Arabidopsis thaliana: one gene and its partners. The protein of the gene in region 3 interacts with the protein of the main gene of each other region in a biochemical or structural test. Each region holds a gene or a part of one and is shown on either strand. Other genes may lie near its edges.

What was found. Proteins that work in one complex are often made in the same cells at the same time.
Region 1: of the proteins of HIS4 (region 3) and HAM2, one has a biochemical effect on the other in vitro, tested with the Arabidopsis thaliana proteins (one study listed by BioGRID).
Region 2: of the proteins of HIS4 (region 3) and PRMT11, one has a biochemical effect on the other in vitro, tested with the Arabidopsis thaliana proteins (one study listed by BioGRID).

The regions. Positions count from the first base shown.
Region 1 is NC_003076.8:3,021,373-3,026,647, reverse strand, and holds HAM2 (histone acetyltransferase of the MYST family 2), read left to right. Parts: upstream 1-1,884; 5' UTR 1,885-1,936; coding exon 1,937-2,243; intron 2,244-2,588; coding exon 2,589-2,677; intron 2,678-2,779; coding exon 2,780-2,839; intron 2,840-2,923; coding exon 2,924-3,133; intron 3,134-3,399; coding exon 3,400-3,468; intron 3,469-3,637; coding exon 3,638-3,799; intron 3,800-3,879; coding exon 3,880-3,973; intron 3,974-4,059; coding exon 4,060-4,202; intron 4,203-4,303; coding exon 4,304-4,507; 3' UTR 4,508-4,716; downstream 4,717-5,275. Other genes in the region: HEC3 (basic helix-loop-helix (bHLH) DNA-binding superfamily protein), read left to right, coding at 1-247. UniProt on the Arabidopsis thaliana protein: Histone acetyltransferase which may be involved in transcriptional activation. Acetylates 'Lys-5' of histone H4 (H4K5ac). Essential for gametophyte development. Negative regulator of flowering controlling the H4K5ac levels in the FLC chromatin.
Region 2 is NC_003075.7:14,489,969-14,494,560, forward strand, and holds PRMT11 (arginine methyltransferase 11), read left to right. Parts: upstream 1-1,653; 5' UTR 1,654-1,770; coding exon 1,771-2,008; intron 2,009-2,103; coding exon 2,104-2,114; intron 2,115-2,236; coding exon 2,237-2,392; intron 2,393-2,488; coding exon 2,489-2,552; intron 2,553-2,632; coding exon 2,633-2,775; intron 2,776-2,865; coding exon 2,866-2,953; intron 2,954-3,060; coding exon 3,061-3,176; intron 3,177-3,266; coding exon 3,267-3,417; intron 3,418-3,578; coding exon 3,579-3,784; 3' UTR 3,785-4,033; downstream 4,034-4,592. Other genes in the region: AT4G29490 (Metallopeptidase M24 family protein), read left to right, coding at 60-101, 243-313, 508-561, 642-747, 844-912, 999-1,142, 1,252-1,353; AT4G29520 (nucleophosmin), read right to left, coding at 4,088-4,276, 4,398-4,529. UniProt on the Arabidopsis thaliana protein: Methylates (mono and asymmetric dimethylation) the guanidino nitrogens of arginyl residues present in a glycine and arginine-rich domain. Type I arginine methyltransferase active on both histones and non-histone proteins.
Region 3 is NC_003071.7:12,328,826-12,331,743, reverse strand, and holds HIS4 (histone H4), read left to right. Parts: upstream 1-1,684; 5' UTR 1,685-1,789; coding exon 1,790-2,101; 3' UTR 2,102-2,399; downstream 2,400-2,918. Other genes in the region: AT2G28725 (forkhead box protein G1), read right to left, coding at 2,801-2,918. UniProt on the Arabidopsis thaliana protein: Core component of nucleosome. Nucleosomes wrap and compact DNA into chromatin, limiting DNA accessibility to the cellular machineries which require DNA as a template.

The DNA of each region.
Region 1 (5,275 bases), on a different chromosome or scaffold from region 3:
GAGGATCAGAATTCTTCAGAGACTCGTGCCAGGTGGCACTAAAATGGATACGGCTTCAATGCTCGATGAAGCTATACGCTATGTCAAGTTCTTGAAACGGCAGATCCGGCTACTCAATAATAATACCGGATATACTCCTCCGCCGCCGCAAGATCAAGCTTCTCAGGCGGTGACGACGTCATGGGTTTCACCGCCACCACCGCCAAGTTTCGGCCGTGGGGGAAGAGGAGTAGGAGAATTAATCTAGACAAGATGACATTTCCATTAGTAGTAACTAAATTATGCTATAATGTGTGAGTAATGGTGCAATTATGGAAAGTGTTTATATATAATAAAAATGGATACGAAATAAGGGTTTGTTAGGATATATAATATATTGTTGTTGACCGTGAAAAGGTTGTGGAATAATCATAACGGTTAGCTTGAGTTGTGTACCACCATATATTTAATATTATGTTATCATTTCGTATATAATAATAAGTTCTTGATTTGGAGTTTGGTTGTATACAAGTTTTGGCCGGGCATTTTTCGGGCATAAGAACCATGACGCCATCAAAGAACCCTATTTAAATAGTGTTATCATTACTGTGGACTTTTGTCTTTGTATACACACAACGCATATATTTGTGAAGTACTATATTTTAGAGCATATAATATGAATGTACTCTATTGCTTCATTTTCATCTTTTTACGTACATACCTCACTTTGAACGTTAATACCTATACATATTGAAAATCGTTTTGTTATGATTAGAATAAGCTTTAAGAATTCCTAAATTACAATAAGCTTTAGGGCTTTTTTTTTAATATATAGCTTCACAACTAGCAACGAAAAATCCAAAAAGAAAAAAGTTGTTATGAAAATAATATCCGTACGTTTAGTCTATTAGATTATACTTGTTAGTATCCGATTAAACATCACCTGAAAACTAAAAAGTCTAACAGACTAAACGTATCCGATTATACTTGTTGTAAAAATGTTAACGAAAAATGTTTAGCTATAGTAACGTTTAGCATAATGAAAATTACGACAATCATCCCATAAAATGATGTTTTGTAATATAAAGTAATCTCAAATTACAACAAACCGATAAGGTATACAGATACTCTACTCCAGAAAGAGAGTATATATCGAGACATATTATAAAGAGGATGGTGCAGAGAAAATGTACTTGCTCGTTTTGTCTTCGAATTAATGAATAGAAGTTCAACTAAAACAGTTGCAAGATCTCTTTTTACCTTCCCAATAATAAAAAGAAAACCTTTGACTACAAACAAGCATTAAACCACCAGAGCTTTGCTCCACACTTGTTGGTCAGAAAATCTCAGAAAAGTAGCAGAGAGGTTAATTCAAGGAAACCTATGCTCCTTGTTCACTTCACTCATGGATACTTCCGCTGACTTTTGTGTCTCCTCACATTCATAGGTTTTAATAAAGACACAATGAAATGTCAGTGAGATTCATGGAAACCTAGCTATATCCATTTTGCTAACGAAATCATTTAATATATTTTCTTTCTTTTTGCCACATAGTTATACATTCATTCACATCCTAGAGATAATTGCAAGAACTTAACGTCTAACCAAATTATTTAGCTCAAACAATGCATTAATAGTCACTAAATAGCCATGGGTATGATTCATATATTTTCAAATCTAATTCGTTTTACTACAGAAATATTTCAATGTGATTCGAGATAATTCTTACATGATCAAACAACTTTCTAATTTTATGAATAAACTGTGATCCCGGTGAAAATGTATGTACTTCACACCATTAAATATCAATATTTTTAACGGCCCATAAATATAGGCCCAATTATGTGAAAAGTTACTAATGGGCCTGATTTATTTCAAGTGTCCGTTTTTCTCTCTCTAGTTCTCTTACTCGTATGAGAAAGAAAGCCCACCCGGGAATCTCCGACCCGACCGAGAAATGGGATCGTCAGCGAATACAGAAACCAACGGCAACGCACCGCCACCGTCGTCGAATCAAAAGCCTCCGGCTACGAACGGCGTTGATGGGTCTCATCCTCCTCCTCCTCCTTTAACTCCTGATCAAGCTATTATAGAGTCGGATCCGTCGAAGAAGAGGAAAATGGGGATGCTTCCTCTAGAAGTGGGTACTCGTGTGATGTGTCGGTGGAGAGACGGGAAACACCATCCGGTGAAAGTAATTGAGCGCCGGCGGATACATAACGGCGGTCAAAATGATTACGAGTATTACGTTCATTACACTGAGTGTATGTCGTTTAATTCCTTATCAAGTTTTGATGTAGGGTTTTCAATTTTGGTTGATTCGTACTGTTGAGCTTCACAAAGGTGGAAATTTAGTCAAGGGTTTATAATGTAGGAAGAAAAAAGAGTTAAATTGCAAGACTTTATCAATTGGATCATTGGAATTGGCTTCAAGTTGTGTGAGATTTTTGAGAAGGAGATCAAATTCTGCATTATACTTTGCTTCTAAAGATTTTGAACCATTTATACTATTGTGATTAAGCTGAGTAATATGATGACAAAGTTGGTGATTTTGAAATCTTATGATCATCAATGTGTTTGATTTTGGTAATTTGTTTTCGAAACTGCAGTTAATAGGAGGCTGGATGAATGGACTCAGCTGGACCAACTGGACCTTGATTCAGTAGAGTGCGCTGTAGATGAAAAAGTGGAAGACAAGGTGCGTTCTCTAGTTTTGTATTGTTAGTTGCATAATGTGGATTTCATGAGTTTTCTCATATACGTTTAGCAATGAGCAGAGATTTATGTCTGTGGTTTCTAGGTAACAAGCTTGAAGATGACACGTCACCAGAAGAGGAAGATCGATGAGACACATATAGAGGTAATGAATGCCAATATAAGGCGGGTCCTGGAAACGTAAGGTTTGTGTTGATTCAGTATTCTGTGTTTCGAAATGTTTTTATAGGGTCATGAAGAGCTGGATGCAGCAAGTTTGCGTGAACATGAAGAGTTCACGAAAGTGAAGAACATATCAACAATTGAGCTTGGAAAATATGAGATTGAGACTTGGTACTTCTCCCCTTTTCCGCCAGAATACAATGACTGTGTGAAGCTCTTTTTTTGTGAGTTTTGCCTGAACTTCATGAAACGCAAAGAGCAGCTTCAAAGGCATATGGTGAGCAACTGTTTTTCTTTATCTTTGAAGTCTTATGATGCTTTTTAATTACATTTCCATTGCGAGCTTCAATAGTCTGGTTTCACATCTGTATTCTATGTTTTTGCATTCCAGTTTCATTGCTGAAGATAGTACCCAACCTTTCAGATTCTGTTGAATATTGTCACTGACTTGCATATCCACATTCACGGTTCATTAAAGTTGCATTTATATGGTTTTATTTTATCTTGTAGCTTTTGTATAATTTCCTTACTTTTTTCCTGCAGAGGAAGTGTGACCTGAAGCACCCACCTGGTGATGAAATTTACCGAAGTGGTACCTTGTCAATGTTTGAGGTAATATCCTGAGATAGGTCTCTGGTCTTCTTGCTCTGGATATGATGTATCGTTAGCTTTCTCTTATGTTTTTTTTTTTCGTATATGGATGCTGATTAGTTTATCTCTCATCTGGTTATGTTCTACATTAGCAGGAACGTTTTTCTCTAACCGTACTCTCATCTTACAGGTAGATGGCAAAAAGAACAAGGTTTATGCACAGAATCTCTGCTACCTGGCAAAGTTATTTCTTGACCACAAAACTCTTTACTACGATGTTGATTTGTTTCTATTCTACGTTCTTTGCGAATGTGATGACCGAGGATGCCACATGGTTGGGTACTTTTCAAAGGTAATATAGCAAAGTAGTTACATATATGTTTGGTTTCCATTTTCCTGTTTGCTCATAAACGTAACTTCTACTGGGTCCAGGAGAAGCATTCGGAAGAAGCATACAACTTAGCTTGCATTCTAACCCTGCCTTCATATCAAAGAAAAGGCTATGGAAAGTTCTTAATAGCCTTTTGTAAGTTCTTTGCCCATTTGACCCTTTTGCTCTTCTCAATCCCATGTCCACAAAAATAAGTAACAGATTGTTCTTCTGAGTTGCAGCCTATGAACTGTCAAAGAAAGAGGGAAAAGTTGGGACACCGGAAAGACCCTTGTCGGATCTAGGCTTACTAAGCTACAGAGGTTATTGGACTCGTGTTCTATTAGAAATCTTGAAAAAACATAAGGGAAACATTTCTATCAAGGTTAGATTGTGTTTCAAACTGATAAAAAGTCTTAGGCTAATCCTGGTTTCTGCGATCTAAGAATCCACTCATCTGTCTCTGTTTCATGTATGATGATGTAGGAGCTGAGCGACGTGACAGCAATCAAAGCGGAAGATATATTAAGCACACTTCAGAGCCTAGAACTGATACAGTACAGGAAAGGACAGCATGTGATCTGTGCGGATCCAAAGGTTCTGGACCGACATCTGAAAGCTGCAGGCCGAGGTGGTCTTGATGTAGATGCTAGCAAACTGATTTGGACACCTTACAAGGACCAGAGTTAAGAGTAAGTACACTCCTCTTGTGCCATTGGATTTGATTTGAGTGTGTAAGTAAAGCGGGCTGTCTTATTCTCCTGAAATGTAAGTGTACTTTACTTGTAAATGTTGAAATCGTACTTGGAATGGTGTTTGTTTACAACTCTTATAATGAGGAAATTTGAAGCAATTTCATAGGTCCATCTTTCTTTTGCTAGTATGTATGTGATCATTTGTATTTAGTATATATATATATATATATATATAAGCCTTAGTTGTTTCAAATGCATATATTTGCATTTTCTGTTGCGGTTTTGTGTGAAAATGTTATGTTCATAATCACAAGATACATTGTTGACAAATATATCAAACATATTTTTCAACTAGTAAACGATATAGTATAGCAAACATAAAAACAAGGTTGGACAAAAATGAAATAGTTGCAAGTTATTGAATCAAATATTCAAATGTGCGTAAACAAATGTTTCACAACTTAGAAACCGTAAAAGTTGGAATCTCTGAATCTAACGCAACATTGTCTGCGAAATTTGGCCAAGATATGAACTAGGTGACATAGTATTTTGGTTTATGATTACAAGAAACGTTGATAAACAATCAGTTCAGAATCTGTCTCTTTTACAATATGTTGTAATTTTATAGAAAATGTCAAAATGATGTTGATATTCCACGATAAAGCCAACTCAAAAATGTCGATTATTCAGTCCACATCATCATTCATGACCACCGAACCTACACTTTTGGTATTAGGTTTATTGGTGCCAATGTGGTCCATAT
Region 2 (4,592 bases), on a different chromosome or scaffold from region 3:
TTTGCTGAATGTAGTTATCTAGAGAAAGTGGTCTCTAATATTTATCAATTGGTGTGCAGGTCAATGGTAAATTTACAAGTGACCAGAGTCTAATCTACAATGTAAGTGCCTTACAAGATTGGTGCAACGTGGATGTATTAGAAATGTGTGCTCTATTTTTTGTCTTCGCACAATCCAGAGTTTGGTGAGTCTCTTGAAGCTTTACATCTGAATAAGTTTCTCTGATTTTGCCTTCCTTTCAGGCTGTTCTGGATGCACATAATTCTGTAATCTCTGCGATGAAGCCAGGAGTAAACTGGGTGGATATGCACAAGTAAGTCTTACTGAGATGCTATATAGCTCTGTTCTACTATGCATGCAGATGCAGTAATTGGGATTGACAATGTAAGCGTAAACTCAGTTGCTTTGGTCCATTTTGATTTATCCTCTTGTTAGGGAGATAAATTGAAATACATCTCCATATGGTTATTCAGCTTTCTTTGTCGACTGAAGCAAATTAATGTACAGGTTAGCTGAAAAAATCATCCTTGAGTCACTGAAGAAGGGGTCCATACTCACTGGGTAATTCTCTCTGTGTTAGACATTTCAATACTCTTCTCTAAAGGTTAATTCATTCTCATGGTTTCGTTCTCTGTTCCTAGTGATGTAGATGACATGATGGTACAGCGCTTGGGTGCTGTTTTCATGCCTCATGGACTAGGTCACTTCATGGGCATCGACACTCACGATACTGGTGGCTACCCAAAGGTACATCAAATCTTTTTTCAACCCAATAGTATCATCACGTAAATAAAACCACAGTCCCTGTGTCTTACCCGTTGCTTTGATCTTTCATTCTTTTAGGGAGTGGAGAGACCAAAGAAACCTGGATTGAAGTCATTACGAACTGCAAGAGACCTACTTGAAGGAATGGTAAGGGCCGATTGTTTCAAGTAGAAATGCTTTTGGTTCTTCTCATTTATCGTCTCTGTTCATTGTCCTAATCGTATTTATGTCAGGTAATAACGGTGGAACCAGGATGCTATTTCATCAAGGCATTGCTGTTCCCAGCCATGGCAAACGCAACAACCTCTAAGTTCTTCAACCGTGAAACAATAGAGAGATTCAGAAATTTCGGAGGTGTCAGAATCGAAAGCGATTTGGTAATGTCAAATTCATATTCACTACAACGTCTACAAGTTAAAACACTCTCAAGAGTAATGTCATATACAATAATCTCATTTTGTTGTATATGTGTGATTTCTTTTTTAGGTCGTTACTGCTAATGGCTGCAAGAACATGACGAATGTTCCACGAGAGACATGGGAGATCGAAGCTGTGATGGCTGGAGGGCCTTGGCCACCGACCAAGTGATCGTAGCTACTCTTAGGCAGCTTATGGAAATTAAAAACTTGATAAGTAAAACTCAATAATACAACCTTTATTTTTGTTAATGGGAATAAGGAAAAATTGCCTGTGTTTTACTAATCTTGTACATGTAGTTTATTTTGTTTCAGTGTCTTGTTTGTGTGGTTGGATATTAAACCGATTGAATGTTCAAGTGGACAGATAAAATCTAACCGGTTTGGTGCTTGTCGACGAAAACCGAACCGGTACAGAAAATATCTTGAGCACAATTTTAGTTCTAATATAAAATTCATTAACAAGAGAGAAAAAAAAAACTTCAAATTAAAAGCTTCGTGTCTTCATAAAACCCTAATCTCGCGACTTCGTCTCTATCCCCAAAAACCCTTTCCTCTCTTCCTTCTTGTGTGAGACCGAGAAAAAAAGATGACTAAGAACAGTAACCACGACGAGAATGAGTTCATCAGCTTTGAACCAAATCAGAACACGAAGATACGCTTTGAAGATGCTGATGAAGACGAAGTTGCTGAAGGGTCTGGTGTTGCCGGCGAGGAAACTCCCCAAGATGAGTCCATGTTCGACGCCGGAGAGAGCGCCGACACCGCTGAAGTAACTGATGATACCACCAGTGCCGATTACTACTTCGATTCTTACTCTCACTTTGGTAAATTCCCTTTTTTCAAGTTCTATTTTTTTCCTTGTGCTCTTTGGTTATGAATTCTTACTAAGAGTTGAATTTGGTTCCACTTTTTTTTGCAGGAATCCATGAAGTAAGTATCGAGGACAAAGCTCAGTTTTTTTTGTTATAGTTTTTGTTCTAGAAGTTTAATGTAATTCATTGTGTTTTCTTCTGTATATATCTGATGACTGAATTGAGAATGGTATCTGACAGGAGATGTTGAAGGATGTTGTGAGAACAAAGACTTATCAGAATGTTATTTATCAGAACAAGTTTCTTATCAAGGACAAAATTGTTCTTGATGTTGGAGCTGGAACCGGAATTTTGTCTCTGTTCTGTGCCAAGGCAGGAGCTGCTCATGTCTACGCTGTATGTCTTCAATCTTTCAGTCTCTTTTTTAATAATCATAAGTAAGAAGAATCTTTTTCAATTTTGACTGATTTGATTGAGGATGTTTCTTAATAGGTTGAGTGTTCTCAAATGGCTGACATGGCAAAGGAGATTGTTAAAGCTAATGGATTTTCTGATGGTAGGTCTTTTATCCATGTTGAGTTGTATTCAAATCGATAACTTCTGTTCTGTAACATGATTTTTGTTTTATCGATGCAGTTATTACGGTATTGAAAGGGAAGATTGAGGAGATAGAGCTTCCCACTCCTAAAGTGGATGTGATTATATCGGAATGGATGGGTTACTTTTTGTTGTTTGAAAATATGTTGGACAGTGTCTTGTATGCTCGTGATAAATGGCTTGTAAGTTACAGCTCCACCTTGTTACATGAGATTCTTAGTTACCAAAACCAATTAAATGAAATCTTCTTGGTCCTGTGTTTTTATGGATAGGTTGAAGGTGGAGTTGTGCTACCAGACAAAGCCTCTCTGCATCTTACAGCCATAGAGGATTCAGAGTACAAAGAAGACAAAATCGAATGTGAGTGCATTGATTTGACACGTTTTCTCGTCTTTTTTTTTCCAACATTGATCTTGATGTCTGTTGAGATTTGCATTTTTAATTTCTTTTTTGTTGTTCTGCTACAGTTTGGAACAGTGTGTATGGTTTTGACATGTCATGTATTAAGAAAAAAGCTATGATGGAACCACTTGTTGACACAGTCGACCAAAACCAAATCGTCACCGATAGTAGGCTTCTAAAGGTATATAAGATATCATATGATGATGATTAGTAGTATCTCTTTACCTGTGTGACTAATGTTCATTTCATTATTCTTATGGGTTTGTAACAGACGATGGATATCTCAAAGATGTCCTCTGGTGATGCTTCCTTCACAGCTCCCTTTAAGCTTGTTGCACAACGCAATGACTACATCCACGCCCTTGTAGCCTACTTTGATGTATCGTTTACCATGTGCCACAAGCTGCTGGGCTTCTCAACAGGTTCAGATCTCTACAATCTTGTGCTAGCTCTGAGTATTCTATTTTTTTTTGGTGCAAAGAAATGGCATGTTATCGAATAACTTGGTTTGAAGTTTAAACATAGCACATTGTTTCATTATGATCTGAAACTTGCACTGAACAACCATATGTGTCACATGCAGGACCGAAATCCCGAGCTACACACTGGAAACAAACAGTTCTGTATCTAGAAGATGTGTTAACCATATGTGAGGGTGAGACAATCACTGGAACTATGTCCGTTTCTCCTAACAAGAAGAATCCTCGAGACATTGACATAAAGCTAAGCTATTCTTTGAATGGCCAGCATTGCAAGATCTCAAGGACCCAACACTACAAAATGCGTTAAAGTTCTCTCATAAGAAGCAGAACTTCAGAAGATACAATTCTCATATTGTGATTTAGTTTTTATATTTCTTTTTCTCCAGATTACAACTTTCCATTTGCTTCACATTGCAACATTTGCTTCATCTCAAGTTAAATTAATGATTTTGCTCTAAACCATCTCGTGTATGTTCCTTGTTGATCACAAAACTGATGTCTGTCAACACTTTTCAATATTCTCTCCAAAAGATTATAGAAACTAAAGGAAATCTACAAAAAGCAAGTGTGAAGAAAGAGTACATTAAACAAAACCAGTTTAAAACTGTTTCTATAGCTCAGACTTTCCGGATTTAGGTTTCTTTGAAGAAGACGATCCAAGTCCTTTCCACCATCTCCGGACCCGGTTTGACACTTTCTGTGCATGTCTCTTCAGAGCCTCACCTTTCTTCTTGAACTCCTTAGTGATTGTCTTCTTCAATTCTTCTGTTTTACTCTCTTTCTCTTTCAAAACTTTTCCCTAAAAACCAACAAAACCATACAAGTGTTTTAGAGAAAAGAAAGAAAGATCTCGGTTTCCTTCTTCTTCATGAAAGTTTAACCCAAAGATTTGATCATTTGAAAAAAGAAACTTTATGTACCAAGTTCTTGGGAAACTTATCATCTTCTTCCTCATCTTCATCATCGTCGCCATCATCATCTTCATTACCGATATTCCCCTTCTCTATATCTTCTCTAGAGTATACCTTCATGCCAGGTGCTCCTGGCATACCCTGAACATAGCGGTAAAGAGTAAGCTTAAGATCATTCCATGGATATGCATTCCTTGCTTAGTG
Region 3 (2,918 bases):
TCGCGCAGCCCAATACCCGGATTTAATTGTATAATTTCCGGATTTAGTGTGGGACCAACTAAATCCATCAAGATAGTGCTTATCTCTTCCAAATACGACTAACATGTTGTTACTAAGATGTTATTACGATGATTTGTGCTTAGTTGACAGAATGAGTCATATATCTTGTGAAAATTGGGATAGTCAAAACTCTTTTGTCAAATTAACGGATAATAGTTAATAGTGGTGTTTAATCTGAGTATTTGTTTGAGTTTCTGATTTATGAATCTAGTATATGTCAATTGGTACAATCAAAGAACCACATTATATATCACTCACACCATTTTTTTAAAAGATTGAATCAAGAACACACATTGTTAAGAGAACACTTAAACAAAACTAGTGGCTCTCCTCTCTTTCTCTTAATATGTGTTCGGTCTTAACACGTGATAGGTAGAGAGTATTAATTAGACAGGGTATATACTAGTTAATTGGAGATACTTTCAACCAATCCGCTGTAGCACACATGTTTATTTCAATGATGAAATCTGGGTTCAAACCCGGCAGCGGAATAGTTTTTTTCTTTCATTTTGGTAAAGGACCGATCCAAATATACCTTAACAAGTTGACTTTGCAAGAAAAAACCATTGGAGAAGAGCAGAGTTTTGATCTTTGATGAGCTTTGTGTTGAATGCGATTCATGAAGGAATTTCTTGGCTGCAAGTTTCTTTCATCAAGATTTGTGCGTCTAGTTATGGTATGAAGCTAATACCAATATTTTGCATATCATTTTGTAGTTGAAAGAAATCTTATAACAGAAATTTTGAGTTCATTCTTCAAGATTTAGATAAGTCTTCAACTTGTTGAGAATTCTATGACAAACACTCATGGTATTCACTTTGGAGATTAAATCAAGAACACACGTTTTACGAGTTTTTCGAGATCGATATGATCCTAGTACATTTCAGCAAGAACAACACCTTGTAATTTACCATCAGTGGAGTTTTTGAGTTATAGAAAAAAAGGAGAAAACAAAAAGACTAGATATACAAGAGCTTTGGAGCTCAAGGGCTTTATAACAATATGGTTTTCAGTTAGAATAATAATCGTCACCTCCTTACAACGACATTGCTTCATTCTAGCTAAAGCACACATCCTTACGTTGTCCTGTAAAAATGCTTCAAACCAGAACATTCCAACAAAAATAGAGTCTCGTCTCTTCTTACGGTTAGTACACAGTAATTGTTTCTATTAATTCAATGGAGTTATGTTCAACATATCCACTATACCACATTTGGATTCAAACCCTTATAGTAGAATATGTTTTTTTTTTTTTTCCAAGTGCATTCAACTTGTCCAAATAATAATAATGTAAAAAAACAATTTTTAAATTTTTTAAAATATATGGATAGTAAAAAAAGAGATCTGAGAATTTACCTTTTTTTATGGTAGCTGAAAAGTAAAAGTAAAATATACTCCATAGTTATACTAATTATTTTCGATATCCATTGTAATTTAGTACATATAACCGGTCCGGTTGACTCACTTGGTTCAAAAGGAAAAATCAAAAATCCACAATCCGTGACTAACATAATAACCCAATCTACAACCGTCGATTCATTAATAATCAAGGATCCATATATCTCATAAACCTTTCTCACGGATCGTTATCTTTGACCGTCCGATCAAACAATAAAACGAACGGTCACGATTCATTTTCTAACCCAAACAATCTTCTTTATAAATAAAAAATAAATTCTTCTCTACTCATCAGAAAACTCAAATCTTAAAACTTTCTGGAAAAACAAAAATGTCAGGAAGAGGAAAAGGAGGAAAAGGGTTAGGCAAAGGAGGAGCAAAGAGACACAGAAAGGTTCTAAGAGACAACATTCAAGGAATCACAAAGCCAGCGATTCGTCGTCTTGCTCGTAGAGGAGGTGTGAAGAGAATCAGTGGATTGATCTATGAAGAAACGAGAGGTGTGTTGAAGATTTTTCTGGAGAATGTGATTAGAGATGCTGTTACTTACACTGAGCATGCGAGGAGGAAGACGGTGACTGCTATGGATGTTGTTTATGCCTTGAAGAGACAAGGAAGAACTCTATATGGATTTGGTGGTTGATCAATTTGAGATCTGGGTTTTCTGGTGAATGATGATGATTTAAGTCTTGCGATCAAGAAATTCCAGAAATTGGGTTGAATTTTAGGGTTTCGTTTTGTGTTGTAATTAGGGCAGCATTGTAATGGATTAATGATAAGTACCATTTGCTCTAATTACTCTTTAATCTCTGAAATTCATGGTAAAGGATTATCAATCGAAAACTAATCAAAGGAATTGATTGAACTATGTTTTTGAAGATTGAAAAACAAATAAGGACTAAATGTGAGCAATTTAAAGTTTAGAGGTATAAGAATCGAATGACAAATATGGACTCAATGTGAGCGTTTTAAAGTTCTTAGCTTTATATATAAGATTCATACACTTAATTGGCTTATAATATTTCTTGCAAAAAATCATTTTCGCATTCCCTAGTGTAAGAATTTGTTGTGAAAATTATTCAGAGTTTTGTGAAATCTAATGACACGTCATCGATCCAACACATATTTGTAACGATACATTCATCACCGTCAGATCAAATAAAATGAACGGTTAATATAAACAAGAAAACAGTTTCTAAAACAAAAAAGAAAGGGCCCTACCGGATTCGAACCGGTGACCTATTGATCTGCAGTCAATTGCTCTACCACTGAGCTAAGGACCCTTATTGATTAATTAATATCAATTACATACATATAACCCATAGATATGACGAAAATGTCATCAACATTGTTCTTCGATTTCTTCTACAACACCTTCAATACCAAAACATGATCGTAATAAAGAAACAGAAGCAATGACCATAACTCCTGCGAATATCGTTGGTAAAAAAACGTCTAAA